Caenorhabditis elegans: one gene and its partners. The protein of the gene in region 3 purifies or fractionates together with the protein of the main gene of each other region. This does not show direct contact. Each region holds a gene or a part of one and is shown on either strand. Other genes may lie near its edges. The genes, in order: orc-2, orc-4, orc-5 and orc-3.

What was found.
Region 1: the proteins of orc-5 (region 3) and orc-2 purify together in Caenorhabditis elegans (affinity purification with mass spectrometry; one study listed by BioGRID). This does not show direct contact.
Region 2: the proteins of orc-5 (region 3) and orc-4 purify together in Caenorhabditis elegans (affinity purification with mass spectrometry, with the first as the bait; one study listed by BioGRID). This does not show direct contact.
Region 4: the proteins of orc-5 (region 3) and orc-3 purify together in Caenorhabditis elegans (affinity purification with mass spectrometry, with the first as the bait; one study listed by BioGRID). This does not show direct contact.

The regions. Positions count from the first base shown.
Region 1 is NC_003280.10:10,870,894-10,879,339, forward strand, and holds orc-2 (Origin recognition complex subunit 2), read left to right. Parts: upstream 1-3,037; 5' UTR 3,038-3,040; coding exon 3,041-3,216; intron 3,217-3,850; coding exon 3,851-4,420; intron 4,421-4,475; coding exon 4,476-4,575; intron 4,576-5,334; coding exon 5,335-5,591; intron 5,592-6,128; coding exon 6,129-6,203; intron 6,204-6,306; coding exon 6,307-6,421; 3' UTR 6,422-7,041; downstream 7,042-8,446. Other genes in the region: cyn-4 (Peptidyl-prolyl cis-trans isomerase 4), read right to left, coding at 1-141, 191-569, 626-1,412, 1,459-1,579, 1,635-1,713; copz-1 (putative coatomer subunit zeta), read left to right, coding at 2,019-2,036, 2,100-2,171, 2,230-2,317, 2,368-2,593, 2,648-2,798.
Region 2 is NC_003281.10:10,643,444-10,650,874, forward strand, and holds orc-4 (ORC (Origin Recognition Complex) subunit), read left to right. Parts: upstream 1-2,726; 5' UTR 2,727-2,727; coding exon 2,728-2,825; intron 2,826-2,906; coding exon 2,907-2,971; intron 2,972-3,373; exon of another isoform or gene 3,374-3,374; coding exon 3,375-3,847; intron 3,848-4,174; coding exon 4,175-4,343; intron 4,344-4,734; coding exon 4,735-4,848; intron 4,849-5,073; coding exon 5,074-5,215; intron 5,216-5,267; coding exon 5,268-5,370; 3' UTR 5,371-5,418; downstream 5,419-7,431. Other genes in the region: orc-1 (Origin recognition complex subunit 1), read left to right, coding at 1-623, 684-787, 1,365-1,974, 2,253-2,516; emg-1 (Ribosomal RNA small subunit methyltransferase nep-1), read left to right, coding at 6,076-6,442, 6,780-7,108.
Region 3 is NC_003282.8:10,731,651-10,737,824, forward strand, and holds orc-5 (Origin recognition complex subunit 5 C-terminal domain-containing protein), read right to left. Parts: upstream 2,939-6,174; 5' UTR 2,929-2,938; coding exon 2,785-2,928; intron 2,708-2,784; coding exon 2,568-2,707; intron 2,526-2,567; coding exon 2,189-2,525; intron 2,144-2,188; coding exon 1,971-2,143; intron 1,905-1,970; coding exon 1,835-1,904; intron 1,788-1,834; coding exon 1,617-1,787; intron 1,555-1,616; coding exon 1,445-1,554; intron 1,299-1,444; coding exon 1,253-1,298; 3' UTR 1,182-1,252; downstream 1-1,181. Other genes in the region: cyb-1 (G2/mitotic-specific cyclin-B1), read left to right, coding at 3,806-3,865, 3,908-4,326, 4,406-4,792, 4,839-4,941, 4,986-5,102; grl-21 (Ground-like domain-containing protein), read left to right, coding at 5,843-6,174.
Region 4 is NC_003281.10:1,205,195-1,215,117, forward strand, and holds orc-3 (ORC_WH_C domain-containing protein), read left to right. Parts: upstream 1-2,938; 5' UTR 2,939-2,945; coding exon 2,946-3,067; intron 3,068-3,187; coding exon 3,188-3,530; intron 3,531-3,992; coding exon 3,993-4,214; intron 4,215-4,699; coding exon 4,700-4,847; intron 4,848-5,702; coding exon 5,703-6,304; intron 6,305-7,391; coding exon 7,392-7,640; intron 7,641-8,252; coding exon 8,253-8,405; 3' UTR 8,406-8,456; downstream 8,457-9,923. Other genes in the region: Y119D3B.12 (LUC7 related splicing factor homolog), read left to right, coding at 143-555, 1,659-1,667; Y119D3B.21 (Protein KRI1 homolog), read left to right, coding at 9,806-9,923.

The DNA of each region.
Region 1 (8,446 bases), on a different chromosome or scaffold from region 3:
GTACATCTTCCATTTTTCCTTGTCGTTTATTCACAGCTGCGGCCGACTTCATGTACTTGCCGACTCCAGTTCCAACTGCTTCTGGTTTTGTTGCAGTTTCTTTAGCTTTTTTATTTGCTAATGAAGCTGCGTCCTTAGAAGCTGAAAATAGATATCATTAGTTTTAAAATTAGTAATAGAATTAAGAAACTTTTCTTCAAAATCTCTGCTCTCTCAGCTTGAACTTCTTTCTCAGCTTCTTCAAATGGATCCACAAATACTTCAGCTCTCATAATAACAACTGAAACCATCGGAACATCAGTTCCCTCTTCAGTTTCCAACTTTTCAATCGTCGTTAGTGTATCCTGTCCTCCAACAAGTCTCCCAAAAATTGTGTGCTTTCTGTCCAAATACTTGCACGGCCGGAATGTAATGAAGAATTGTGATCCGTTGGTGTTAGAGCCCTTATTAGCCATCGAGAGCACACCTCGAGCATCATGGGAGAAACCGGAGATGAATTCATCTGAGAATGGCTTATCCCAAATTGATTCTCCACCATGTCCTGTACCAGTTGGGTCGCCTCCTTGCAGCTGAAATTTTTAATTATTTTTTGTTATAACTTTAACTATTTTTATAATAAATTTACCATAAAGTTTTTAATTAACCGATGAAATTTGGTGTTATTATAATATCCATTCGAACAATGTGTGATGAAGTTTTCACAGGCCTTCGGAACTTTCGGCGCGAATAATTCCAGATTCAATGGCCCAAAATTTGTAACAAGCCGCACAAAAGCATTTTTCTTAACTCGGCTGTACCGAACTGTATCATTATCCAAAACAGCTGCTTTATTGCTTGTAACTGGAGCCATTACAGTGGATGTGAATCCAGCTGCGACTTTTCCTTGACTATAATGTGCTGCATTGATCTCATCGGCAGTTTCATCAGTTTCTGTGGAGCTCTTCTTTGGGACATATTCCTTATCCAATTGATCAAGAACTGATTTGCAAGCATTATTCATTCGTCGAATGTAGAATTTTGGATCTTTCATTGCATCTTTTTCTTTTTTAATCTCTTCTGACGTCTTTAAATCAAGCTTCACGTGTAGAAACTGCTCCATATTGAATTTTTCCAAATGATTTGGGTCTTGAAGATCAATTATATCAGCTCTTGTGAACGGAACATCGGTTAGAAGATCCTTGAGATGATTTCTTTTTAAATTCAATTCTTGCACGGCTTCATGAGAATAGACGTTTCCGGAAGTAGCGATGGCCAGAATATGACTGTGGTCCGTGAATGTTCTGAATGTAACTGGGCATCGGAACTTTCCATCTTCTCCTTTATCGAATTTCAAGTGGATTAGATCCTTGGCAACCAACGGTTTTCCTGTACACGGGTTTTTGCCATGCTTCTTCAAGTAAGGAACGATAGCACTGAAAATTTTTTAATAAAAAGTAAAAAAAATAAACAGAAATTTACGTTAAATCGAAAATTTCTCCTGATCTTGCGCAAACTGGGTCTTCAAACGGTAGAAGTGACAGCGAGCAATGGTTGATGGGTAACCTTTTGAACTGTGCTCTTTGGAGTCTTGTTCCAGTATCTGAAATATGAAATTAAATCTTGTTTTTATTTATAACTCGTGTTTAAATAAAAACCATCTTTATGTCCTCCAATCGATTTCCATTCAGAAGTGGTCAGATAGAGTTTATCTTTCTGATGTTGCTTTTTTCCCATTTTATCTGAAAATAATACAAATAAATACTAGTTACATTTATGTAGTTATTAAGCTTAATTAAAATGCCGATTGTTAAAAATTGCGAAAACAAATCGGCTCGTAAATCTACACGAAAACCTAGGCCGGCGGCCGCCAGCCACCTCGGGTCTCGCCACGATCACATGTCGATTTACGCGCTCAATTTCATTGACTATTGACGTGGATTATCTTGTTTCTCAATGTTTTTCCTCCATTTAAATTGTTTTTCAGAGATAAATTTTTAATTTTATAGGTAATATTAGCAAAAGAGAGGATTTGCAATAAGATGGCAGACTTTGACACTGTAAGTTTCATTTGCAGCTTATTATTGAAGTTTTTTTTTTTTAACTAAAAAGCGAAATTTCAGAATCCAACTTCTCTGTACAGTATCAAAGGAATTGTGATTCTTGATCAGGATGGAAACCGTGTTCTTGCCAAGGTTTGTCGTTTATTTCACAATTACCATACAAAAAACTCGAAAAAATATCGATTTTCAGTACTACGACCGTACAACCTTTGGAACTGTCAAGGAGCAAAAAGCTTTCGAGAAAAGTCTCTTCTCGAAAACTTCCCGCAACACTTCAGGTTTGGCTGATTTTTTTTTGATGAAAACAATAAAAATTAAACATTTTAAGCCGATATCCTGCTTCTCGACGGAGTGACTTGCTTGTACCGCTCGAACGTTGATCTGTACTTCTACGTGCTCGGATCGACCCGCGAGAATGAGCTTTTCCTCGACGCAACTCTCACCTGTCTCTACGATGCTGTGTCTGTCGTTCTTCGCAAAAACGTCGAGAAGAAGGCTCTCATCGATTCCATGGACACTATCATGCTGATTATTGACGAAATCTGTGATGAAGGGTTATTTTTTTTTATTTCTAAAAGTATTCAACTGATTTAAAATAATTATTACAGAATTATCATGGAAACTGACGCCCAGGCTGTCGTCCAAAGAACCGCTCTCAAATCCGACGAAGTCTCATTCTCCGATCAATCCGTATCACAAATCGGCTTCTCGTTCATGAAATCTGCCAACGAGCAGTTCAAATGGTCTCTTCTCAAGTAAATGGAATTCTATAAATTATTTAATTTAAAATGTGATATTTATAATCTCTCCAATACTCTTTTGTGAATTAAAATGAATAAACCTCGGATAAAATGGTGTTTTCATTGTAAAAATTGTTGATTTTGTGCTGTTTTTGTTGAGTTTTTGGTTCGTTTTCTTAACGCCTAACTATATTTTCAGTTTAAAGCTTAACATTTCCTGCATGAATCTAAATATCTATTTTTCAATTTTAATTTCAGAAAATGCCACGGCCAAAAATTTTGAAACGAGCAACTGTCCAGCCCAGTGCCGCCGTTCCTGTGAAAAAATCGACTCCAGAAAAAGAAGGATCCAGACAGAAAAAGACGAATGGAAAAGAGAATGCTTCTAGAAATTTGCAATCAAATTTAGAAGAAGATTTGGAACAACTGGGCTTCGAGTATGTATCTATTATCCAGATGAATTCTTGAGCAAAACCGGGTCTCGACACGGCAATTTTTGTTGAAAACAAAACGGGGGTGCGTCTATAAGGAGTGCTGTATTATCACAATATGTGTTCTTAAAGGCGCACAGATCTATTCAGGCGGGTCTCTGCGCGGAAAACAGTATCGTAGTATTTTCTTTTTCTTTAAATTTTTCCGGTTTTTTAATAGAATAATAGAAGGAGAACTAAATACAAAAAACGGAGTAATTTCTTGAAAAATGAAAGTAAAAAACTACCATAAAATTTAAAAGTTTTTCGCGCGCCGAGACTCATCTGAATGATTCGGTGCGCCTTTAATAATGGTAGGCCAAAATTTCGTTGCGGAATTTCCATCGATTTTTCATTGTTTTTTGTTAAAATTTTTTTTAAATAAACAAAAAACTAGGATAATTAAAAGCGCATGAATTTTAACGAACAATCGATAAAAATTCCACAGTTTGAAACTACAGTACTCTTTAAAGGCGCACACCCGTTTGTAATTCAAAAAAAATTGTCGTGCCGAGACCGGGAATTTTGGCGCAAAAATTAGAAAATCTTCCATCTAGCTAAAAATAAGTACATTTTCGAAGCAAATCAATCATTTTTCCAGGGATGAAACTGTATCAATGGCTCAATCAGCAATCGAAAATTACTTTATGCAAGGAAAATCGGCGTCAGAACGAATGAATAATGCGAAATCCCGTCGTGGAAGACGTGCTGGAAATGGAAATACTGAAGAAATTGAGGAAGACGATGAGATCAGTAATGCTATCACTGATTTCACAAAATGTGATCTCCCTGGACTTCGAAATTATATTACCAAAAAAGATAACACGGAATTCGAAAAACGATTGGAGCATCTCGCGGATAATGATTTCGGAAAATGGAAGCTTTACCTAGCAGCTGGATTTAATATTCTTTTGCACGGTGTCGGTTCGAAGCGTGATGTTCTCACAGAATTTGAGAATGAGCTATCCGATTATACATATATGAGAGTGGATGCACGGAAAGATGGGCTCAATGTAAAAGTTCTTCTTGGAGCTATCAATGAGAATATGAAGCTGAATTGTAATGTGAAGAGAGGCCAATCTACGATTAGTTGGGCTCGATCTATTCGCAGAAAAATGAATAGCCAACAGTTGATTCTTATCATTGATAATATTGAAGCTCCTGATTGGAGGTGAGGGGAATTCGCTTTTATTTATGTATAAAAAATTAATTTTAATTAATTTCAGAAGTGATCAAGAAGCATTTTGCGAACTTCTTGAGAATCGGGATTCGGTGAAATTGATTGCTACAGTTGATCACATTTACTCGACGTTCATCTGGAATTCGGTGGGTATCTAAAATTTTAATTTTCGAAAAACAGAAAATTATATTTTTTTGTTATTTAAAATTATTTTTTTCTGTAGAAATTTATATATTTTAGTATGTTTTTTGTTCATAAATATAATAAAAATTTGACAGAGAGAAAAATAAGAGAAAATAAGAAAATCTTAAAAAAATCGAATTAATATTTAATCTGAAAACGGCAAAAAATCGAAAAAAAAACAATTTTGAAAAACAGTCAAATTTATGGCAAAAAAATTTTAAAAAAATCGCTACAGTTGATGGCATTTACTCGAATTATAACCCACTAAAAACATTAAATTTTTGAAAATAACGATTTTTAGATTTTTTTTTAGATTTTCCGAAAAATAGCTTTCAAATAAAATAAAATATATTGTAAAAATGTTTAGTCAATTTTCTTTTGAAATTCTCAATTTTTCCGGAAAAATCAAACAAATTTTTTCTACTTTAAAAAAAAACAAGAAAAATTAGAAAAAACAAACATTCTTAAAAAACATTTTTATTAATGCCAAAAATATGGTTCTAAAATGAAAAATATTTATTATAAACTTTTTTGAAATAATTTTGAATTAAAAACTTTTTATTCATAAAGGCATGGTATAATTTTAGAAATGTAACAAAAAAAATTGTAATTTTTCTATTCTAAATGTGTTTTTATAATTTGTATTTGAATATTCCAGAGGTTCAAAAATATTTTAAAAATTAGAAAAGTTATTTCCAGTTATTTATCTTTTTTTATTTCAGCGTCAACTATCATCACTCTCATTCGTTCACATCACAATCAACACCTTCGAAATTCCACTTCAAGAATTAATGACTGGAGATTCTCGTCTTCTTGGTCTTGATGCTCGTTCGAATCAATCCTCTCATACAATGTCATCGCTTGATGTGTTCTGGAAATCTCTTGCCGTCAATTCACAAAAATTATTCCGTCTCTTTTTCCAAATGTACTTTGACACCAAGAAGCCTGTCAAATTCTGGGATTTGTTCAATGCGGCAAAGTGAGTGGAAAAAATAAATTTTTTCGATTTTTCAGTTTTCTTAAAGCAAAAAATTCAAAACTGGGAATATTTGAAAAAAAAATTCGATTTTTCCCCTTTTTTAAGCATAACCAAAAAACGGAAACTTTGTTTAAAAAACCGAAAAAATCATAAATAATAGCAACCTTTAAAAAACTTTGATTTTTAGAGTTTTTGAGCAAAAAAAACTGAAAAACTAATTATTTTTGATGTTTTTGGTTTTGGGCAGAGCGGGAAATTTTTTTAATTGAAAATACCGACAAAAAAATCTAATTTTTTTCGATTTTTCAATTTTTTAAAGGCCAAACCGAAAAACCTGCAAGCTTGCACAAAGGATGCCCCGAAATATTTTTCGATTTTCGGTTTTTTTTGTGCACAACCAAAAAATTTGAAAAAAAAACCCAAAAACACTAATTTTCGTTCAAAAAAACCGAAAAAAATCTGAAAAAACTTCAAAATTGGTAATTTTTTGAAATAATTTTTTTTGTTTTTCGATTTAAAAAATCCTAAAAATTCCAGAGATGATTTCATTGCTTCAACTGACGCTGCTCTTCGAACCCAACTTGTCGAATTCAAGGATCATCGGGTTTTGAAGTGAGTATCCCCCCCCCCCCCCCAAATAGATAAATTCTCATCTTCCAACCAGATGTCGTTTGCTTATTCAAATATTTCAATTTCAATTCCAAAATTTCTCCAGGTGGACCCGTGGTGATGACGGAAACGATCAGCTGTCGGGCATTGTCGAATTACGATTAGTGACCGAATTTCTCGAATCGAAGAACATGCCGTTAGACGAAAAGAAAGACGAGTAGCTGCTGCTACTGCTGGAGGACCTCAAAAATGAACACACTCTGCCTCCTTTTGACTCAATGTATTTACCTTCAATTGTTTTATTTGTTGACTCTGCGCCCCCCGTCCGTCCGTCGATGCTTCTTCATCCCATTTTTTTTTACTTCAATTGAAACCTCAATCTTCACTTACTCTCATCTGAACGCTCATATTTAAGGCAATAATTTTCATTTTCAAATATATCAATTGAAACCTTTATCTACCGTAATACCAATTTTGTGTACCTTTTCAAAAATCTCATTTCCCCCTCGGTTTTTTCTTCACGATTTCTCAATTATTTTCAGTTTCTCACTATCAGTTTCACATTCCCATATTTGAATGAATCTCATTTTCCAAGTTTTCCCTCTCTCACCATCAAAAACCAAATCCTCTCCCTAGAGTTTCATGGATGTAGTAATATGATACTCTTTCCTGCTCGCCTTCCCCCCAAAAATGGGCTCACAGGTGCCTTTGTTCTAGCTTTTTTAATTGGAAAATTCGGATTTTCCTCGCACATTCTCCCCTAACTTTTTTGATAGAAGCTTTTTGAAATGACAAAATTTTTGTGTGTCTTGGAAGTTTTTGTGTCACTTTTTTCTGTCAAAAATGTCTCCATAGAAGCTCGCAGAGATTAACGATGAGCACTTCCGGCCCACTAGGCTCAGAAGAGCAGTATATCATGTTCCTTTTCTCTTTTTTTTTGCTTGCTGACTCAAGTCAATCAGTATTTAGGCAACAAGGACGAGAAGGACTTTGAATATTTGAATGCGATGAGCATTTTTAAACTTTTTTTTGTTTTTTTTTCATATTATCGCTCTCAGGAACAAGAGAATTTCGAACTCTACAGGAACTGGATCTCAATATTATGGGGACGCAGAACGCGCTCCACGGCCAATTGGAAATGCCCCGCCCCGGAACCATGGGTCTCGTTAGGTGTTTGGCGAGAAAACCGGGAATTCAAACTTTTCCTAATAGTCTCGTTTATTTTTTATTATATTTTCCGTTGTTTCAATGGTTTTTATGCCAATATTGATATAATAAAATTCAAAAACTTCATATGAATTTTTAAAACATCAAGACCCATATAAAAATTACTAAAACCAATGTAAAACATATTTAAAAAATCGTCGAAAAATGATTTAAACATTCGAATTTCGAATTCCCGGTTTTCCTAATATTACCTAACGAGACCCATCCTACTGGGGCGGATCGTTCCGTTGGCCTTAGAGCGCGTTTACGCGTAGACATCAAAAATGGTCAAGATCAAAAATTGTCAGAGAACCCTCTATATAAGTGTCAGTTTTTGTGTCATTCTTCTATGAATTTTGAATTTCTTTGCACTTGTACTTTTCAACTTTCTCTCTTCGTTTTGGCAGAAACTGAAAAAAAAAACTTTTTTCTACAAAGTTTCGTACTTTAATAAAGCTTTCAAATATTTGTATTAACCCACGTGTGGGCGTTCGAAATTGCTCTAAAAGTTCTAAATTGTACTTGCTTATTAAAAATGAGTTTGGACAAAAAATCCCCGCTGGCGCTGCTCCACCTTTACATGAGCACGTGAGTTCCTGTTCGACCCCTCATCATATTTTAATCCAAAACCGTCACGCGCAAATGGTATAAAAGAGCCATGAATCTATCAGGATGGGTCTTGAAGCGAAAAGTTCCGAAAGGCTTTCTCAATCTAGTCGGAAGTTGAAGCAAATTTGTTATAGTCTTATTATTTTCTAAATTCAATTTTTCGTGGTGAGACCCTTCAATTCCCCGATTGTCGACCAAAAGTTCAATTTTTACAGTGTTATGTCTCTTTTAACAGTCCTGACAATTATTTTTTTCTGATTTTTGGTTCACAGAAACCGGAAGCCCAGGCCTTCGCTAATAGTCCAAAAACACGCGCTGAAAAAGAAATCTCCGATCTTTAAGCTTCCAAATCCAAAAATTCCTCTCTCCCATAACGGGATTCCATCAAAAATGCATTCATCTATTCATTATCTGAAGCTTCCAAAAGTGCG
Region 2 (7,431 bases), on a different chromosome or scaffold from region 3:
GTGATAAAGAAAATAGAAGAGTTACAAGAAGCAGGACTCCGACAAGGCTTGAAGAGACTCCATCGAAGAGGCTTGCTCGGGAATTAAGTAAAGCTTCAGTGTCGAAAGTTTCCACTTCAAAAACTCTATTCAAAGAGAGTAAATCACCTCGAAAAGTTGAGATTTCAAGGAAAACAAATAAAGCTCGAGTATTTCAAGAAGAAGATGATGACGATGAAGATGATTTCAGCGATGAAATTGACGAGAAATTCTATTCGAAAACTAACAAAAGAACACCAATCACAATAAAGATCCCTTCAAAAATGATAACCCAGAAAGTAACTCCACTAGTGATCAGCAAAACGCCAGGTGGAACACTGAGAACCCGTAGAAGGGCACGCCAGAACAGTGAAGAACTCGAAGATCTTGTGGATCCACTGGATTCCCGATCGGCTTCAACTCTGAAAGAGCTGGCGAGCAGGCTTCATCTCTCAAAGGTGCCCGAGAAGCTCCCATGCCGAGATATTGAGTCTCGAGAAATTGAGAAATTCATTCGAGAAGTTATTGATCCAAAACGTGGCGAGAGCTCTGCAATGTATATTAGTGGAGTTCCAGGCACAGGGAAGACAGCCACTGTTCGAGCGGTAAAACTTAATTTTTAAATTATTTTTCCAAATTTCTGGTTTTCAAATTCTATTTTTCAGGTCGTCAACTCGATGAAAAAGAGCAAAAAGTGTCAGAAATTCGTGTACGTCGAGGTCAATGCGATGATCTTCAAAAAAACTGTATTCGTAGAGATTTACAACGGGTAAGGACGTCTCGGAAAAGTTGAAAATCGAACAATTTCCATCTAACAACTGCAGAACTCATTGGAAAATGCTCAAAATTTTGCGCGGAATCCTCCGAAATTCGAATTTTTCGAAAATTGTTGGCTAATTTCTGAGTTTTTTCATAAGTTAACGGGGAATTTTTTGTTTTAAAGCTTGGAAATGGATCAATTTGAGCATTTTTAGACAGTTTTCAGCTTAATCGCAAGTTTTTAAAGAAAATATTATGCTGAAAACTGTCAAAAAACTGCTTAAAAAGACGTATTTTCCTTGCTTTAAAAAAATTTCGACTTAAAATTATAAAAAAACGCAAAAAAGTAACTTTAAAATGTCGATAAAAAAACGAATTTCAGTGGGTTCTGCTAGTTTTTACTTTATGAAAATGATCTAAAGTAGTGAATTTCGTGAAACCTTGAACATTTTCCCGATAGGATGTTAGAAAAACCTCAAAAATCTGAAAATTTTGGGGTTTTTCTCTTCAAAACCCTAAAAAATCGGTTTTTTTGTAAAATAATCGTTTTTGTACGCAAAAATACTGAAATTTTCAATATTTTTCAGCATCCAAGAAGAGTACAACATCTCGAAAAAGCCTCAAAGAGCAAAAATCACAGCTACCGCTGCTCGCCAAGAGCTCAACTCAATTTTCAAGCGAGAAGATCCGAAAAGACCGCCAATTGTTGTGCTAATCGATGAACTGGATAGTCTGTGCAATAGAAAACAAGATGTTCTCTATGATATCTTTGAATGGACAGCACTTCCACAATCTAAAGTCACTATTATCGGTATTGCCAACACTTTGGACTTCCCGGAACGAATGCTTTGCCAACGGAATGCTAGTCGACTTGACAAACGTCGCCTCGTATTCCAGCCTTATCAACACGAGCAAATCGAGGAAATTGTGCGTGCGAGGCTCCAAGGATCCAATTTAATTGATCCGAAAGCTGTTGAACTTGTCGCCAAGAAGGTCGCTATGAACACTGGAGACTTACGGCAGGCTCTCGATTTTCTGTGTCGAGCGATTCGTGTTGCAGTAGAGAGAAAATCGGAAAAGCTCGAGTTGTCGCATGTGATTGCTGCTCAGAATGCGGTGCTGGAACCTCTTAAATATCGTCTTGTAAAGGGATTAAGGCTTCATCAATTCACATTGTTCCGGACAATTGAATCTATGGTTAAGGCTAATTTGAATTTGTAGAAAGAAAATCGCTTTTTAGAATTTTTACTAATTTTCGGAGCAAAGTTAGTGTGCAAAGAAAAAATTCCAAGTTTTTCAATAATTTCCACTCATTTCTCTATTTTATACAAAAAATCACCACATTTTTCCATACTTTTTTCCAGTTTTTTTAAATTTTCTCAGAAAAAACTAGTAAGGAAATCATTTAAAATTTGTGCAAAAAACCTTGAACTGTTCTGAAATTTGAACATTTCCTAAAATTGAATATTTTGTAGACCCGCGAACAAGAGGAGATCATCTTCGCAAACATCTACAAAAACTACTGCATAATCTGCTCAGAAGTCTCTGGAATCGGCCCGGCCACCGATAGCTTCGCCTACGGAATGCTCCTTCAACTGGCGAGCACTTCATTGATAAATCTGTCGAAAGGAGATCACGGAATGATGAATCGACGTGTGAAGCTGGGAATGACGTCGATGGAAGCTGAAAAGGCGATCAAAGCGGCGATTGAGAAGAATAAATCGATTTATTCAATTTAAATTTTATATTTATGTGTTATCCTCCAAGGACGTTCTATTTAGATTCTTTTTTGACTTATTTTGCATTAAAATTCCAATTAAAATAAAATATGGACTTTGAGTTTGCTGTGACTTTACCGGAGTCATTTCAATCACCAAGCAGTTTTCCACCTGTTTTTTATACTTTTTCTTCTAAATTTTTATCAAAATAATTTGTTAAACATTTCCCAGAATGCTATCACCTTCCGATCAAGAAATTGTAGCGGAAAATGCTCGGCGAGCTCTTGATTTGCTCGACGATCAGGTCTTCGGACTAACGGAACAAGAGAGGTGAGTGCCTGATGCAAGCGCGCCCCACTGGACTTGCTATTGAAAATTTGTGATTTTCCCAAATATTTTATCTATTTTCAGGCAAATCGAGAATATTGTCTATGATTTTCTGCAGTCGAAAGATGGAAAATGTGCTCTTCTTGAAGGTAAATTTATTGTCGCCTCAAAATCTGCTCTAACGACCGAAAAAGTTCGAAAAAAAGCGGAATCTTGGTAAATCTGGTATTTCTCCTAATTTATCTTTTGGCTTCAGCTCGAACATAGTTTTTAATAATTTAATATAGTTTAATGCATATTTCGGCTCATTTTCCGGCTTAAAATTTGCCTAAAATTTTAGATTTTTGCGAGAAATCTCTTAATTTTCGGTCTTTTGAGCCCATTATGACAGTGCGGCACGGTTTTTTGTTGATTTTTTAAAAATAAAGTTGTTAATTTGCTCATTTTCCTTATTGAAACGTCATCTAATGTACTCAAAATTATACAAAATTTCGCAGTTTTCTCCATTTAAATATTGAATTTTCAACAATTTTTTATCGATTTTCATTGCAGGAGAACGAAATTGCGGCCGAGAAAGCACACTTCGGAAGGTTCTCAACAAATATCACAAGGAATTACGAGTAATCAACGCAGGCTTCGTTGCCGCCGATCCAAATTATCAGCAGGAACTCGCAAAGGAGGATGACGAAGGATATTTTGTGTTTTTAGTGCGAGACGCCGACAAATTAATCACTCCACAGCAGCAAAAGTTCCTCTACACGATGGTTGACAAGGCGACACACTTCTCGTGGCTCGTCTTTTTCTCCGTTTCCCGACACGATTTCGCTCAGAACCTTCAGAAACAGGCGACGTCGAGAATTCCGAAAATTCAGGTGTCATTTGACGCGACACACGATTATGAGGAGTATTGTGCAGCGTTGACGCAGTTTTTGATTCCTGGCGGCTCAAAATGCGAAGAATCCGAGTGCTATAAGAGATTTGTGAAGAATTTGAACTTTCAGACATGGCTTAGGCCGGTTTTTGAGGTGAGATTTGGTGAAGAAGCATTCTTAAAAGCTGAAAATTTCACGAAAAAGCTGAAAAAACTCAAATTTTCCACCTTTTTTTTTGATTTTTTTCATCAAAAATTGTAGTTGTTTTTTTTTATTTTCTTTTTAGAAAGAAAATGTTATCCAATTTAATTCTCATAAAATGCGAGGGTATTTCATGATTTTATAGCCAATTTAGCATGAGATATCCGTACAATCTTACGATAATTAAATTGGATAACATTTTCATTCCAAAAATGAAAATAAAACAAATAAAATCATATTTTTCGGCTTTTCAACCCCCATTAAAGTCCATATTCTCAGACAAGTCACTACGTCGTTCTGAAACAATTGGCCGCGCAATTCCTGATGCTTTTCGGTTACTATTGTGACGTAGAAGACACGTGGAAACCCGAGGAAATCAGCAAACAGATTCGTAAAATTGTCGAGACGACTTCTCCCTCGTATAATGGAAAATTGTTGATTTTAAAAGGTAGAAATTCTGCTAAAACTTTGAAAAAGGCAGAAAAAACCCACGATTTTCTAATTTTGAAAACAAAAAATGAACAATTCAAGTTCACTTTTTGAAATTCCGCAAAGAATTAAAAATTCTGATTTCAAATCTGGAAATTGAGCTGATAAAGTAATTTTTTACCTTTTTTTTTCGGAACAAATTTCAAATTTTAAACAACTTTAAAATGTAAAAAATCATGCAAAAATCGTGATTTTCAATCAAAACCTATTTTAATCTTTACAGCTTTTGAAATTTTTCTGAAAAATTAAAAAAATCCGGTAAAATCTAGAAAAAACTAATTATATACTGTTTTTTCGGCTCAAAAATTTAATAATTCCAGTGAAATTCTAAAAATTTTTCAAATTTTCAGATCAAACAGTTCGAGCACAATGCGTTTTTCTTTGTGTCTGGAGACTTGTGCAGAATAAAGAGTCAGATGGACCACTTTTGGCGCCAAAAACTTCGTATCGAAACGTTTTTCTAGGTATTTTTTAAAATTTATCTCGGAATTTTCGATTTTTCGAATTTTTAAAAATTGAAAAACGAAAAATTTTTCGATTTTTTGAATTTCCGAAAAATTAAGAAAATGTTCAGAAAATTAACCATAAAATATGATTTTTTTTAAATCTAATTTTCGATTATATTGATGAGAAAAAACATGAAAATTTTAAGCTTATTTTTTAAAAATCTATTTTCTCCGTAATTTCAGAATTCAAAAAACTCGTTAATCAACACTATCCTCCACTGAACGTGAGCAGTGATGTCTACGTATTCCGAGAATTGGATCATCTCGTTAAAATGGGAATTTTGAAGGCAGACGAGAGCACAAATGTGACAAATACCTCGTTTCGGTGGGTTTTTTTTTCAGCTGAAAAATTCACCTCAAATCCTCTTTTTTTTCAGAAAAGTTTGGCTTCATATCAATGATAAAATTGTGGAGGACTCGATCTCGAAGTTGCAGCTCCCGCGAGTTGTTTCCGACTTTTTTATGACTATTTTGAAGTAATTTTGATATTTTTTGTACTATTTGCAATGAAGATTGATCTCGATATTTATATTTTTGTTGAGTTTTTTTTTCTGTGAGAATTATTTTCGGTTTAAAAACCATCATATTATTTTTTGAACTTGTTTTATAAAAATCTTTACAGGAGCTTCAAAAATCGAAAAAATAAAATAAAACCATTTTTCGTTAATTCAAAAATCCCGAAATAAAATATTTAGTTAAATTTTCATGTTTTAGGGGAAATTCGACAAAAAAAGGAACTCACTGAAATTTTTGAAAAACCGTTCAAATTTACAAATTTTTTCGTTTTTGAGTTTTTGAGTTTTTTGATTTTCGACTTACATTTTCTCCGCAGAAATTTTTCAGTGTTTTTGACGAAAAAATATCGAAAAACGAAAAAAGAAGTGAAAACTTTTAATTTATCAAAAATTATGTATATTCCTATATTGATAGATATGGAAAATTAGAAATTTTTCCAAAAGTCGAAAAACTCAATTTTATTTCCAAAAAAGCGGCATTTTTTCGAAAATTTTACAGAACGACCTATCGTTGTTCCCACAGCTTTTATTTAAAATTTGTGCTAAACTATAAAAAATCACAATATTATTCAGAAAATAATTTTTTTTTCATCAGAATTATTGAAAATTCGATTTTTGGTCCTAAAAAAATTACTTTATGACAAAAAAAATTAATTTCTCCGAATTTCAGATGTCCCACGAGTACGATACAGTTGCACCGCCAAATGCGAAGCGCATGAAGACGGATAATCAATTGGAGGACAAGAAGATTTTGTACGTTGTACTGGAAGGATGTAGTCTTGAAACTGCAAAAGTCGGTGGAGAATACGCAATTTTGAGCAGTGATAAACACGCGAATTTTCTGAGAAAACAGAAAAAAGATCCGGCTGATTATCGGCCAGATATCCTACATCAATGCTTGTTGAATCTACTTGATAGTCCGCTTAACAGAGCCGGAAAGCTTCGTGTCTTCTTTAGAACGAGCAAGAATGTGCTCGTTGATGTCTCACCACAGTGCAGAATTCCAAGAACTTTTGATCGATTCTGTGGACTTATGGGTGAGTTTTTGGTTTATTGGAAATTGAAAAAAATATATTTTGAAGTGTTTTTGTATGTAAAATAAGAAAAAAGACAATTTTTCGAGTTTTTTAAAAATTATTTTTTATCAAATTTAAACATAAATTTTTAAAAATACCCTTTTCCTTTTAAAAATACCCGGATTCAAAATACCCCAAAATAGTCTGAAAATCAAAAAAAAATTCACAAAAAAGAGCACAAAAATCCAATTTTCAAAAACATGCTTTAAAATACTTTTTATTGGATTTTTTGTGACTTTTCTTGCAATTAGGTATTTTTATGCAAAATCCCCCTATTTTCTATTTTCCATATTTTCAGTCCAACTCCTGCACAAACTCTCCATTCGAGCCGCCGAAACCACTCAAAAGCTGATGTCAGTAGTGAAGAATCCAGTGTCGAACCATCTTCCAGTGGGATCCCGTAAGATGCTCATGTCGTTCAATGTACCTGAGCTAACAATGGCTAATAAGCTTGTTGCACCGGAAACCGACGAGCCTCTGGTCCTTATTATCGGTGGAATTGCTCGTGGAAAGATCGTCGTCGATTACAACGATTCTGAGACCAAGATCAGCAATTATCCATTGAGTGCAGCGTTGACTTGTGCCAAAGTGACCAGTGGACTTGAGGAGATTTGGGGAATTATTTAATTGATTTTTTGCAGTTTTTTCATTTTATTGTTGTCTGTTTTTGTTACTATCTTCATCTTATAAAGTGCAAAATCACTTTTTTTTTTCGAAAAAAAATGCCGTTTTTTTGTAAATTTCAATGTCTATTTCTTACTTTTACACTGAAATTGTTTTAAAAAAATCAAATATTCTAAAAACCCAAAAAATTAGTTTTTTCTTTGATTTTCCTTTCGTAGAGTTCTCTTTTTTTTTTATTTTTTCAGTTTTATTAGGTAGTAATTTAAAACGTTTTAAAATTTTACAATATTTGGCATAAAATTCGGCAAAAACTTTTTTTTTTCAGA
Region 3 (6,174 bases):
TTAATAAGGAAATTTTCTATTGTGCTTGTACACTCGGTTCCCAATCACATTTCGGTTTCTCGGAAAGTTTGAAAAAACGGCGTCATTATCCCTAGAATCAGCAAAATTGGGGGAAATAACAGCTTCCCGGTCTTTTATTTTTCAGATTTAATCCAAATCATAGTGCAGAGCTCGATGAGCACACTTAAAAACAGCATGAAGCCACTTTGGTGTACCTGCTTTTGGTATTTGCAGAAGCTGCAACACATCTGTTGACATCATTAATTGAAATTAGCTGAAAATTGAAAAGAGCAGACACATCAACAGCTGTGCATGCGCTGTCAGTCATTAAAGTTTTAAATGCTTCAGTGGAAAATGGGAAGAAAATTGAACCGAAATAGATAGCAAAAAAGGTTATTATAGATGATGTGAACCGGCTGAAGTTCACCAGCTGCTCATCAAAAAAAAAACTTCTGCAAATTCTGTTGTAAAAACGTCATAAGGGCACAAAAAAGAGAGCTTGCACTCAATTTCTATAGTTCTGAAATTATTGAAAATTCCAAATTCAGGTGAAATTTTCAGATTATATTAGTTTACTCAGTTGTTCCAGCGTGATCAAAAATAATTACGATTTTTGTCAGAAATGACTAATAACGTATATTTTTAGTCTAAGGAACTGACCGATCTTCTACTATTACTATTAAATGTCATGAAGGTCAGGTGGAAATCATTAGAAACCTATTATTTTTAAGTCAACTTTTACTTTTCTACTAGAAACATACATAACAGGGACTACAAAACGTGAGCAGGTGGAATCATTTGAGATGTTCAGTGAGCAAATGTAGCAGGATGAAATTGCACTTTTGGAGTTTTCTTTTCTTAAAAAATCATTCAATATTTCACCAAAACTTTCGCACGGGAACATTTTTTAACACGGGAAATTTCTTGATCTTTGTAAAACCTTATTAGTTGCGATTTGTTATTAACTTAACTCGATGATGCAATATGGGAGTCGAAAATAATGAACGTGAGAACTTAAATCAGTTTGTGTCTACTATTTTCAGATTATGATCCTGTTTTCTTTTGCTATGTAATTTCTTTTTGTTGTGATATTCGAATAAATTTTTCTTTCGAATCAAAAACCCACGTCAATGATTATTTAGCTGTACGGTATTGAATGTGGGATCTCGTATAAAATAACTAAGTAATCATGTAATTTATTTCATAGTTGGTGAGAAGAAAGTGAGATAATTGTACCCGGCAGTTGAAATTTTCAGGTGGCGTGTTCAAGATAATTCCGCAGCTCCAAATTGAGTGACCTGCAAAAATAAAAATTGCACGAAAAAAAAGACTACATAATCGAGTTTGTTTATTTCGTTATTGTTTTCTCAAACAAAACAGTAAAAATATATGACAGGGTATTTTTTATTTTTCAATATCAGTCCTATTTTATTTCCTTTTTTACCTGGATATTTTGAGAGCGCTCTCCAACGAAATTAGACACTTGATCTTCGGAATATCGAGATTGCTTCGATTTGTTACTGACACGAGCCCCATTGAATCGAGAGATGCGATCTGGAACCTTTGGATGAGAAATTTTTCTAGGCGAAATGAAGAGAATGTATAGTGCAACATACAACACTTTTGAGATCAAATCCTGTAATAGTCGATTCATTGATTTTGAGAAGCGTTTCGTAAATACAAATTATTCTTTGAAGATCTGCAGCTTTTGGACCGAGATCTTTGGCAAGTCGATTTTCTTCTAAACGCAGCTCTTTCTTTTCTGATCTCTTTTCTCGGCCGTGGTTCTGAAAAAAACGGAAAATTATTATTTCTGGAATAAATTATGTGCAACCTTTACGAAAAATCGGCAGTCTGATTGATGAGGATTATTGCTGGCACAGTATGCGGCTATGAGAAGATATCTGAAATAAAAATTTACTGGAATTTCTGGAAGAACTACATATTTTCTGTTGAGTATTTTTAGATACCTCATGGCGAGCGGCATGGCATCAAAACTGTTCTCGTTCTCCTTGGCCAGATTCTCTCCGACAACATTCCCGAGCTTTTCTCCAGATGATCTATTGAGGCATTCTTTTGCCAGTGTAGAGTCGAATTTATCGCCGGTTCTCCGCTCATCATACATTAGCCACGCATCAGATATCTGGAATTGTAGTGATGGATTTAACATTGTTTTTAAAAAACTTACAATTGATAGAAGAATATTCGGTGACTTGCAGGCCATGAACAGTGACTGGCAAGCAACGTGAAGAAATTGCGCGTTGATTTTTGGATTTGCACGAGAAATAAGAACTTTGGTAGTTTCTACTGATGGTGCAGGTATGTGAAACTCTACAACTGGAAGATGGCTCAGATTAATGTGATATTGGTTCAAGCAGGATGGTGCACTCGTCACAAATCGAATCGTTATTTCTTGTATAGCTTTGTAAGAATCGAATAAGCATTGTAATGGAACAGGAGGATAGTCTGTTATCGCTTGTGCATTATCAAGAAAAATGACAATTTTTCTATTAGTTTCGTCTGGCCTGAAAATATTTAAAATTTAATTAACAAGAAAATACACTTACCATTGGACATATTTATACAGGTTATCGCAAAAATTCTCAGCTCTGTCACCTCTAGTCTTGAAACCTAAACTCGATGCCAGTGAATCGAATAACAATTTCAGCGATCCATCCGCATAGAGGAAGTCTCCAAGCACACAAACCTATAAAAATAGATTGTGAATTTTGAAATTGTTTGAAATTTTTAATTGTTTTGAAATTGAAGTTGTAAAACACGAACCCAATCGTTTTCAGGTTTTCTCAGAAGTTGACGAACAATTTCACTTCTTCCGCTTCCATCTTCTCCGAAAATGTGGACATGAGAAATAATTCGCGAGTTGTTAAATAAGAGCATTTTTAGACGTCTTATCTCACAATTTTCCATTTTGCTAAAAATAAAAAACTATGATATGGATAAAATGACTGATTTTTCAGCCTTGAAATAAAAACAAAAAAAACTTTCTTCCAGTAAAAACTGTTTTCAAGTTGGCGGGTATTCAATGGAGCAGGTTTACTTGGCTAAACTAAGCGCGATGCGAAATAACGGAGTGTCGTATTGCAGCGCGAACCTTGAAAATAAAATCATTTGCTCTTGAAACTTTGCGATTATTAAAGTTTTGATCGGATCTCCCTCAATTTTTCGGCGCCAAGAATTTATTTTTTGCAAAAACCTTCAATGGAACGATTATTTTCCAACGCAGGTTTCCCTATTTGAATCTTTGCCACATAGACCGGTTCATTTTATTCATTATTCGATTCTTGAACAAAAACAATCTTTTTTTCTTTGGCTTATCGTTATCAAATACCTAACTTTGGAGCTTTATTAATATTCTAGGTTCATTTGTAATTCATCTTTTAACGTCTGTTCTTCATTCATCCTAGGTGACATATTTAATCGATATTACCCTTCGCGATTCCCCCCTCCTACCACCAAGCACCATCTTGGTGTGGGGGAGTTGCGCTCCGTTGGACAATCGCTGCACGCGGAACATTCGAATCCCATTTGTCGATATTCTTGTATTTAGTGCAAACAATTCTTAATAGGCTCCTCACGTGACCTTAACATGTTCGCCGTGTAGAAACTATTTACACGTTGTGTTCTATTTAGATAAAATCATAACCTTTCTGTCAGATTTTGTAAAACGTCCAGTATTTCTCAACTTACCAATTTTCTACTAGCAATCAAAGGTTCTTTCTCACTTTTTATTTTATTATCTCTTGGAACTTGCAAACAATCGTTTATTGCAGCGAAAGGCCTCAATATGCTAAGAGCCACCAACAACAGACGAACATCGAATAATGTGGAAAAGGATAGCCTCCAGGTACAAGGTGTTTACAAACTAAAAACTATAATTATCATTCAGATGGCTAAGCACGGAAACGGACCATTGAAGCCCGTCAATGCGCAAGGTCTTCAGACGAAAAGAGAAGCTCGAGAGATTCTTGCACTCAAGCCATCCAATCCAGCTCCAGTCGAAACTGCGCAAAAGTCACAGAGAATCAACCTCCAGGATGCTGAGACTAAATGTCTTGCTATGGCCGACGACATATACAAGTATCTCGTTCATCACGAGAAAAAGTATCTTCTTGAGGAGTGCTTCATGGAGGGAGGAGAGCCCACTCCCAAGATGCGTCGCATTCTCGTCGATTGGCTTGTCCAAGTTCATGTTCGATTCCATCTCACACCTGAGACACTTCACTTGACTGTCTTCATTCTGGATCGCATGCTTCAGAAGAAGGTCACCTCCAAGGCGGATCTTCAGCTTCTTGGAATTTCAGCTATGTGAGAGTTTTTATTCAATTTTAAAACGTAACATATAGGGATTACTAATTGTGTATCCTTTAAAAATGTTTTGTTTCAGGTTCGTTGCCTCCAAGTTCGAAGAGGTTTACCTCCCAGACATCCACGACTACGAGTTCATCACTGAGAACACATACAGCAAGAAGCAGATCTTGGCAATGGAGCAAACAATCCTTAACTCGTTGAACTTTGACTTGTCCTGCCCATCTTCGCTTGTCTTCCTCCGCTGTCTCTCAAGAATTCTCTCCGAAAACGATGCCAGCCCAATCGATAATCAAGCTTTCTGTTATACTTACAATATCTCCAAGTGTCTCGGAGAGCTCGCACTGCTCGATTCGGTTATGGCCTCGACCCCAAGGTCCCACATTGCTTCTGCTTCGATGATCATCGCTCTTGAAGTTCATCCTGTTGACGGAATCGAGGCGGAGAATGCTGTATCGGTCATTTGGTACATTTTAAAGCTTATATTTTTATTTTAATATCAACATTTTTAGCAAACAGCTCGGAGCCTCTAAGAAAGTCATTGAGGATGCTGTCGCTTTGCTCGCCGAAGTCTCGTATAAGAACTTCAAACAGGGGAAGCTTGTCGCTATTAAGGTATTGAATCATCGAAGTATTCCAATAAACATAATTATTTGCAGAATAAGTATCAATCAAGCAAGCTTGCACAAGTTTCCAACTTGATGACCGACGACGTACTCGAGAAAATCAATCGGATGGGCCAGAATGCAAAAGTGGACGCATCAGAAATGGAATGAGCACTTCGATCCGAAATAAACATTTTGTACCATTCAGTCTTTCTTGATTCTTATGTTTCTTCCTTCATTGCTTTTCTTTTCGGCTCCTTTCCATTTTTTAACTCCTCCAGTCGTTTCCACGTCAATCTGGTCACACCCGTACATTGATTGTAAATTGGTGAACATTCGTTGAGCGACCATACACCACCTCCCATATTATTCAATTTGTCCATTTTGAAATTTAAAATTTCACTAAAAATTTTTATCACAACTTTTCGCGCCCTCTTTTGTATCGATCTCGTATTTAATTATTGAAACCACACTGCTGTAAGACTCACCGTCCTCATCTCTGTTGTTGTAACTAGAAGGACCAAAAACTTTCTGATGAAACCTATGTGCTATTAAATTTTGTTAAATGGAATTACTATAAATCATGTACTAAATAAGTGATGGAGTAGTCTGAAGGTTCTAGGGGGTCTCCTGCGCAATGACGCGACGAACTTAAACCAGTCAACAAGCATAAAAACAAGTAGGCTCCACCCACTTTAACCTTGAATTCTGTGTGCCGAACCCGGGGTCAAGTGGCTTTTCGGCCAATTACTCATCGGTTTGTTACAGCACTGGCGGTCACTTCTCGCCGAATTTTCTCAAAATGTGTAATAATGAAGCTGCAATTTCTCTGCGTATCAATCTCTAACGCTCTGCTGTAATGACTACAAAAGTGACCATCGAAAACGAGAATTTCATACATTCCACTCGAAATGGTTCATTCATCAGTTCTAATTGTTCTTTCACTGACTGCTTCTTCATCTGCATTCCTTCTAGAAGGACTCGGTTTAGGATTAGGTCCACAAAGACCTCAACAATGCTGCTGTCCACCACCTCCACCACCTCCACCATGCGGAGGCGGATATGAAGCTCCACCTCCACCACCACCACCATCATATGCGGGTGGACCATCATACGCTGGACCATCTTATGCTGGATCCTACGGACCAGGACCATACAGAGCCAAGTCAAAGAGATCAGTTGACATGAAAGCTTCAAGTGGAGATTTGTTCTGTAATAGTGTTGAAGTTAGAGATATTATCAA
Region 4 (9,923 bases), on a different chromosome or scaffold from region 3:
ACGATTTTTAACCATTTTAAGCTAATTTTCTACTCAAAATTGTCATTTTAGGCCTATTTTTAGAACACTTTTCCACTAAATTCACTCGAAAAATACGATTTTCAGCCCATTTTTCCACTATTTTCACTCAAAAATCTTCCAGGAAACCGGCAAATGCAAGTGTGTCAAATCTGCGGCTGTTTCATGCTCCAAAACGATGCTCCACAGCGTGTCGACGATCATTTAACCGGAAAATTGCACATTGCCTACCAACAAATCTCCGATACAATTAAAACAATCGAACTGGAAATGCAGACGAGTCAGCAGAAGGCTGAGATGAAGCGAAAACGTTCGAGAAGCCGATCTACGGATCGAGGCGCGGATCGGAAACGATCTACGGAGCAGCACCATCACAGTCATCGGAGCAGCCGGGATCATAGAGATCATCGGCACCGGGATCATCGTGGAGAGCACAGAGAGCACAGAGAGCACAAAGAGCACCGGAGAGATGATCGGCATCGATCGGAGAGATCAGAAAGATCAGAAAGATCGGAAAGATCCGATAGAGAGCGAAAAGTACGGTTTTCTCCTGAAAACTGACTGAAAATTCGTGAAAAATTACCCGGAAAACCGGAATTTTCATCCAAAAACACGGAATTTGGCTGGAAATCCGCGAAAAATAACCTGAAAATTCAGAATTTTCGGCCAAAAATGGAATTTGACTGAAAATTCGCGAAAAATGACCTAAAAATCAGAATTTTCAGCCAAAATTCATGAAAACCATGAAATTTGGCTGAAAAATCGCCAAAAAATGACCGAAAAATTAGAATTTTCAGCCAAAACACAGAATTTGGCTGAAAATTCGCTGAAATTTACCCAAAAATCAGAATTATCGGTCAAAATTCCGTAAATTCACGGGATTTTGGCTGAAAATCAGAATTTTCGGCCAAAATTCATGAAAAAAGTGGAATTTGGCTGAAAATCAGCGAAAAATGACATAAAAATTAGAATTTTGAGCCAAAAAATGGAATTTGATTTGAAAATTCGCGAAAAGTAACCGGAAATTCAGAATTTTCAGCCAAAATTCATGAAAAACATGGAGCCTAACTGAAAATTCGCGAAAAATGACCGCAAAACCAGAATTTTCAGTTAAAATTTATGAAAACCATGGAATTTGACTGAAAATTGCATAATTTTGAAGATTTACCTGCAAAAATCGATATTTTTTGCTTTTTTCCCTGAAAAATCGATAAAATACCGATTTTCAAGTGGAAATCGATAAATTTTGGGGATTTTTTTAGAAAAAGCGATAATCTTTTGATTTTTCACTGGAAAATCGATAAATTTCGAACAAGACTTTGTAAAAATCGAAAATTTTTGGCTTTTCTAACTGAAAAATCGATAATTTTCTAATTTTTAACTAAAAAATCACTGACTTTCTAATTTTTCCTGTAAAAAATCGATAAAAAACCCAAAATTTCTCTTCGAAAATCGATGTTTTTCGGCTTTTTCACTAAAATCTCAATAATTTTCAAATTTTTCGGGAAAAAATCTCGATTTTTGGCTGGAAAATTAACAATTTTCACATTTTTCCTGTAAAAAATCAATAAATTTCCACATTTTATACCAGAAAATCGATAAATTCCCGAAATTTCTCTTCGAAAATCGATAATTTTCAGCGCCACTAGACCGCCGCCGCCGCCGTCGTGCCGGGACCCAAAATTCTCCAAATTTTTGCACAATCTTCTCTTGTTAGCTCCCCACCAAAAGTACGTTTCCTTCAGCGATTCGCAGGTGAGTGGACCGCCCCTCTAATTACAGATTTTCAGATTTTTTGGGCCTGAAAATAGGCCGTTTTAAGCCCAATTTTCGCTCGGCCCCGCCCCCTTTTCAGGTTTCTGTATCCCCGGAATCTTGTTCGCCGATCTATGAAATTTTGTCAGTGTGTGTTGATCAGTTAGTTGACTATCATCGACCCAAAATTATCGATTTTTCGGGAAAAATTATTGATTTTTTTCAGATTTCTCTATCTACACCGAGCCGCCCACACGTTTTCACCTGCTAATTATCGATTTTTTTAAATTGATTTTTTATTATTTATCTCTCTGTAGAATCTTTTTGGTCTGTGAATTGGAATAAAATTGATTTTTCGAAAATAAAAAAAATAATTTTTTTTAGGTTTTTAAAAAGATTTTCGCGAAAAAATGAGGATTTTGAGAGAAAAATCGATTTTTCGACAAAATTTTTGAAATTTCAGTGGTTTTCATGTGAAAATTTTGAATTTACGCGAATTTTTTCAATATTTCGACGATTTTCGCTGGCAAAAACTTAAAATTTAAGGCATTTTTCGAAGTTTGAAAAAATTTGGCCCCAAAATCGATTTTTTGGCCAAATTTTTGGATTTTTAGCGGTTTTTTTGTGGAAAATTCGAAAAAATGCTTATTTTTGCGATATTCCAAGGTTTGAGGGCAAAAATTGGAAATTTGAGGCATTTTTTGATTTTTGGAGAAATTTGCCGCAAAAATCAATTTTTCGATGAAATTTTTGAATTTTTAGCGCTTTTTGTGTTAAAAATTCGAATTTATTGCATTTTTTCTGATATTTCGACGATTTTCGCGGGCGAAAATTGAAGATTTGAAGCATTTTTTCGATTTTTTAAGAAATTTGCCGCAAAAATCGATTTTTCAACGAAATTTTCCGGTTTTTTACAAGAAAAGGGGTTTAAAACGCAGTTCTCATAAAATTTTACGTCTTTTTTCAACAATTTTACCTGAAAAAACCCAAAATTCACACGGAAAACCTCTGTTTTTCGGTAAAATCGGTACAATTCACCTAAAAATGCAATAATGCAAGCGCGCTCCACTGTACAATTTCAGTTTTTTCTGGGCGCGGAATTCGAATTTGAATGGGTTTTTCGTCGATTTTCAGCCATTTCCCATCAATTTTTGCCAATTTTCAGTCAAAAAATGACGCCCGGCATCACTTTTCACCGCGGAAACAAGAAATTAAAGCTAGGAAAGGCGGAAATCAACGAGGCAATCGAGTTTCCCGAGGATTTTGAGTTTTGCTCAATGGAACAGGAGAGGAGGTGGGTTTTTAAACAAATTTCAACTGAAAATTGTTAATTTACACTATTAAGTTTGAATTTGAAGTAAACTGTAAACTGAAAAAAAACGTAATTTTTCACTAAAAACGGTTTTTTTTCCAGATTTTTCAAAAATTTCGTCGATGACGTCACGAGATTCGACGAAAAAATGGCTCACACCACGGCGAGCATCTACGACACGGCAACCAACGAAATCGCCACTTGGATCCTTAAAAAACCCGGAAAATCGTCGAAAACGAAGGGAATTTCGGTTTTTTCGCCGAATGAGCCGATTGGGACGTTAAAATGTGCTCTGGTTCAGTGTAATTTTACGGATATTTCCCGGTTGATTGGTGATTTTCGGCAGAAATTACTGGAAAAATCCACGGAAAATCTGGAAGTCAGGGATCACTTGGTGACGGAGAACGACGCGATTCACGAGATTATTGATCGGATTTTGGAGAAGGTAGCCGCGACCGCGACCGCAACGCATGACGAATTTCGATTTTTTTTTTGGTTTTGAACTTGCTCGACAACCAGGAAAAATCGATTTTTCCGGAAAAAAACACCAATTTCCAGACCGCAACGCACCTGAAATTCAAAAAAAAAAAGTCGAGAAAATCGATTTTCCGTCAACCGCGACGCGACCGCAACGCATCCAAATTTATTTAAAATTCAAAATTTCCGGAAAATTATCGATTTTTTAACGAAAAACACCAAATTTCCAAACCGCGACGCGACTGCTACGCACCTAAAATTCAGGAAAATTCAAATTTTCCCAAAAACTATCGATTTTTAAACGAAAAAAAGGCAAATTTCCGAACCGCGACGCGACCGCAACGCATCGAAATTTTTAAAAAATTCAAATTTTCCAGACCGCGACGCGACCGCAACGCACCATATTTTTAAAAAATTTCAAATTTTTCAGAACACGTCCTCAACAACATGCCACGTCATCATAATTCGTCAATTCGAATCTCTCCGTCCCAATTTCTTTGCGTCTCTCGTCTCTCTTCTCTTCTCAAATTCCACGTGTCGCCGTCTAATTCCACGTATCAAACTGATGACGTGTGTCTCGACGTCACCAGCGTTTTTTACGCAAAATTGCGGACTTGAGACGGCAAATTTGATGGATTTGACGCATTTTAGGGTGATTTTCGACTACTTTTCGGCCATGGCCTAACTTTTGCACAGTGTAGAAAAGTTAGGCCATCGCTTGAAAATTGAAGAATAAACTCGGAAAAGTTGGAGAAAATCAAGGAAAATTCAAATTTTTCGATTTTTTCGTGTAAAAACTGCAAAAATTTTGAATTCCCGCTGAAAAAATAGTGGTGGCCTAACTTTTTATCAACTGCAAAAGTTCGGCCACCAGTGAAAAATCGTCCAAATCGATGAAAATTATTTTAAAAATCTATAAAAATTTATTTTTTAAAAAATCTTAGCAGGTGGCCGAACTTTTCACGAAATGCAAAAGTTCGGCCACCTGCTAAAAACTCGATTTCTTACCGAATTTATCGATTTTGAAGATTTTTTACAGGTGGCCGAACTTTTGCAGGTGATGAAAAGTTCGGCCACCGCTTGAAAATTCAAAAATTTTCGGAAAAAATCTCCCAAAAACCGCCAATTTTTTTCCAGTTCACCAAACTCGACGACATTTTTTCAAAAATAATTGCTACCGGTTGCCACGCCCACTTCTTGCCGCCCCGCCCACCGCCAAAAAATATTGAAGAAGACGATCCGGCACTGCTCAACAATTTTGACTGCGCTCCGGCCGTTTTTTCAGGTAAACAATGTGTGGAAAATTTGAATTTCCCGCCCAAAAAAAAGTGGTGGCCGAGGTTTTTACAGGTTGCAAAAGTTCGGCCACCAGGGAAAAATCGCCTAAAAGCATTAAAATCGATGAATATCAGTAAAAATCAATATTTCTAACTGGTGGCCGAACTTTTCACCACCTGCAAAAGTTCGGCCACCTGTTAAAAATCGTCTAAATCGATGAAAATTAGTACAAAATCGAGTTTTCAGCACGTGGCCGAACTTTTCATCAGTTGGAAAAGTTCGGCCACCAGTGAGAAACCGCATAAAAGTATTAAAATCGATAAAAATCAGTGAAAAACCGAATTTTCAGCGGGTGGCCGAACTTTTCACATTCTGAAAAAATTCGGCCACCAGTGAAAAATCAAAGCACTAAAATCGACTAAAATTAGTGAAAAATCGCCTCAAAGCATTAAAATCGATGAAAATTATTGAAAAATCGATATTTTAACAGGTGGCCGAACTTTTCCCATTCTGCAAAAGTTCGGCCACCAATGAAAAATCGCCAAAATCAGTAAAAATCGATGTTTTTAACAGGTGGCCGAACTTTTCATCAGCTGAAAAAGTTCGGCCACCTGTGAAAAATCTGCAAAAAAAAAAAAGAAAAATCGCCGAAAATCATTAAAATTGATGTTTTAGCTAATGGCCGAAGTTTTGCAAGTGATGAAAAGTTCGGCCACCTGTTGAAAATATCGATTTTTCACCGAATTTATCGATTTAAACGATTTTTCACACGTGGCCGAACTTTTCACAAGTTGCAAAAGTTCGGCCACCAGAAAAAAAAAATCAATTTTTTATCGATTTTTCTCAAATTTTCTACTTGCAGGACCCTTCATGAAATACCTAAAAAATCGATTTTTCGCCTGCGACTACTCGATTTCTGCACTCTCTCGTGCCATCCAATTGGCTCTTCTTCAGAAATATCTCGAGGATCCCCTCTGGCGAGAAGATGCTCACGACGCAGAGCTCCAAAAATACGACCGTGTGCTCCGTGTGTTTCTCGAAGAATTTGGTGAAAATCCGGCCGAAATCGACGAAAAATTGGCTGAAAATCTGCGATGCCACGTGGAAATTCAGTCGGATGGCGGCGATTTTTGGACGAAAATTCGCCACGAATCGATATTTCAAGAACGAAAATCTGCGATTTTTGACGGAAATTCCACCAATTTGCACTCATTTTTGCGTCGATTTTTGGCAAAAATCACTCCAATTGACCCAAAATTCTGTGAAAAATTGGAAAATCTACGCGAAAATCTGATCTCCGCTGAGCAAAACCCAGAAAAGTCGGAAATTTCGCCGGAAAAATCGATAACAACGACACAAAAAATGAGCTTCCTGGAGATGCAGAAGCAGCGCCGATCGGCTATGACGGCCAAGCAGCAGAACCCACTGAGAAGTGCGAAAAGTGCGATTTTTTCGCATGTTATGGTACGAAAACTGAGGAAAATTGGTCAAAAAACAATGAAAATCGATGAAAAACCGGCGATTTTAGTTGGTGGCCGAACTTTTGCAAGGTGGAAAAGTTCGGCCATCTGTGAAAAATGATGGAAAACTGAGGGTTTCAGTGAAAAAAAACGCGAAAAATCGGCTGTTTTCAGTCGGTGGCCGAACTTTTGCAAGGTGGAAAAGTTCGGCCATCTGTGAAAAATGATGGAAAACTGAGGGTTTCAGTGAAAAATGGGAAAAATTTACTGTTTTCAGTCGGTGGCCGAACTTTTTCAAGAACAAAAAGTTAGGCCACCAGTGGAAAGTGATGAAAAATTGAAATTTTCAATGAGAAAACGCGAAAAATTGGCTATTTTTGTAGATGGCCGAACTTTTGCAAGGTGGAAAAGTTCGGCCATCAGTGAAAAATGATGGAAAACTGAGGGTTTCAGTGAAAAAAACGCGAAAAATCGGCTGTTTTCAGTCGGTGGCCGAACTTTTGCAAGGTGGAAAAGTTCGGCCATCTGTGAAAAAGTTTCTAGGTCATGGCCTAACTTTTCCTCTTCCTGTAAATGTTCGGTCATCAAAAGACACGTGAAACCCAGTAATTTTAGAGTTGGTGGCCTAACTTTCTCAAGTTTCCAAAATTCGGCCACCGATGAAAAATCGGTAAAACCCAGTTTATCAGATGGTGGCCGAACTTTTGCTAGCAAGAAAACCTAGGCCACTTTGTAAAGAAGCATTCGAGTGGTAGCCGAACCTTTCGAAAAGTTAGGCCACATGTGGAAATTCTAAACATTTGCTTTTGCAGCTAGGCCACCAGCGAATCCAACTGGTGGCCGAACTTTTCAAGTTTGCAAAAGTTCGGCCATCAATGAAAATTCATTAAACACTGAAATTTTCACCAATTTTCAAGAAAAAACAAGCAATTTCCCAGGTGGCCTAACTTTTCAAGTTCGCAAAAGTTCGGCCACCTTGGAAAATCAACGAAAATCGATGAAAAACAGTAATTTTATCCGGTGGCCGAACTTTTCCCAGGATGAAAAAGTTCGGCCACCCTTCAAAAATAGGTTTTAAAACCTTTTTACAGAATCTCTTCGAGACCACCCTTCAACCGTACCCCTCCACGTGGCGTAACGTCATCGGCGCCAATTTCTGGATCGATGACGTCACGAAGACGTCACTGGACGCGTCCGACGAGTACGATATCGAAAATGCGATGCTCAACGCGAAAAAATTCGAAAAAATGCCAATTTCCGTCGCGTGGAGGTGCCTGCTGACGCATCGCAACTTCAAATCCGTACCGATGGCCGAGTGGGCGGAGCTTTTTCTCAGAAATGTACGGTTTTTGATGTCTGCCTACGCGCCTGCCTGCCTACCTGCCTACTTACTTGCCTGCCTGCTTATTTGCCCACAAACCTAGTTGCCTGCCTACCTACCTACCTAATTTCCTGCCTACAAGCCTGCCCACCTCTTCAATCACCTACGTATCTACCTACCTATTGGCCTGCCTACCTATCTACTTCCTGCCCTACTGCCTACCAATTCACCCGCCTACCTGGCTAGTTACATGCCTACCTACCTATATACCTACCTGCCTTTTTACCTACTGACCTATTTGAGTGCCTACCTGCCTATCGGCCCTTTATTTCTGCGTGCTTATTTCCCTGCTTGTCTACAGACCTACAAGCCTGCCCACCTGCCTGCCCAATTGCCTATTTGCCTGCCTACCTACCTACCTACTTATCTGCCTCACTAACCGCTTATCTACCTACTTGCTTACTAGCCTACCTTCCTGATCTCCTGCCCTACTGCCTACCAATTCACCTGACTGCCTGCCTAGTTACATTATCTACCTACCTGCTTCACTACCCGCCTACCTGCCTGCCTACCTGCCTACCTACCCAGGCAGACACACCTAAAAACCATCTAAAAACCTCCAAACTTGCAGGTACAACAAATGAGCCGAAAATCAGCGAAAGGCGCGTTTTTCGCCGCCGCCGGCCAACTCGAGCACATTGGGCTCATTCGTGGAGCCGTCGACAAAAAGTCGACAAATGTTCACGTTCTGTACCATCCGATTTCGTTTATTCCCGATATTTGAACTATTTTTATTTTTTTGCGAAGATTTTCGAATGAATTTTGTGTATTGATTATTTTTGGGTTTTTTTTTGTGAAGCTGAAATTCGACGTAAGAGCCAAAAATTGGAGCGCGCCCGACACGTTCGGGTTTCCGCAGTTATTTGAAACACGAAATTCTGGCTTCCCTCATAAATTGAAATGGAAGAGTAAAAAAAGAAAAAAAAAACAGACTGACTCAATGATATGGTATTCATGTTTTGTCTCAATTTTGTAGAAACTCGACCAGCTCCAGAGAAAACTCGCTCGCTTTCTGCGGAAGAGGCTGGAGCCGTCAAATATCGATTCGCAATTTGTGACAATATCGGGAATTTTGCTCGGATCTGATTATCATGCCAGAACAAACTAGGGTCATGTGTGTCCTATCATTGCCAGAATCAAAAAGTAGTTCCACCTCCGCTGACGCCAAAACACGAACATCAACTGGGGTTTTCTCTTCGACTAATCTGTCTTTCGAGCTATCGAAAACAAAAATTGTTTGTTTTCAGCTGGGTTTTGCTTGTTCGCTCTGTTGATAATATGAAAACAAAATAGGCGCGCACTTCAAATATGGTTTTTTTGACGATTTTGTCCTTTGTTTATAACTAGGGCTTCCATGTGAGAGCGGTGCGGCGACGGCGCCTCACGCCAGCCTCACGCCGGCCGGCCTTCGCCGTCGCCGGTCGCCGCGCTGTGCATATTGGCGTGAGCTCCGGTGTATGCGTAGGGAGGATTTACGGCTGCATACCGTAGTTTTGCAATTCTATTTTGCGCAACGTGATTCAAAAAGTGGTTATTAGGAAGCGGTCGACACATTCTGGGTTCCGCGCCGCACTGTACATGCGGATACGTTGCGGCGTTTGTGGCGGCGTGAGGCTGTTTGAGGCGCCTCATCGGCCGGCGAAGGCGCCGCAGCGGCGCCGAGATGGAATCCCTATTTATAACATAAAATAATATTTTACTTTGTTCGTTTGTATTTCGAATTTCGAAAATTTTCGAACACGAAAAACCGAAATATTTCGAAATTTTCCCAAGTTTCTTCCTCACTCTTATTTTCCGGCCAATGACGTTTGCTATCTTATCAATTCACTCTTTTCCAGTCCCGCCCTTCATTCACACAGGTTTTAATTTTAGTTCAGCATGATTGCAATTGTTTTTGACTCTTTTTCAAAATTGCAGGCGCCTACACGCCACTTTCAGTACTAAATCAAGCAAAATAATCCCCTCTCCCTCACTCTTATTTTCCGTCCAGGACGTTTGCTATCTTATCAATTCACTCTTTTCCAGTCCCGCCCCTTTAAGACGGCGTATAAAAAGAGTCAAGGAAGCATTACAGACATAACCCAGTTTCTTCAAGCTACTCATTCCAATTGCTCCCAGTTCCTCATGAGTGATAACGACGACAACGTGTACGACCCCGACGAGGTGGAGGAGGTGGATGAGAAGGATCGGTACGACCCCAACGATTTGGAGGAGATGGAGTATGTGAAGGGGCTGGAGGAGA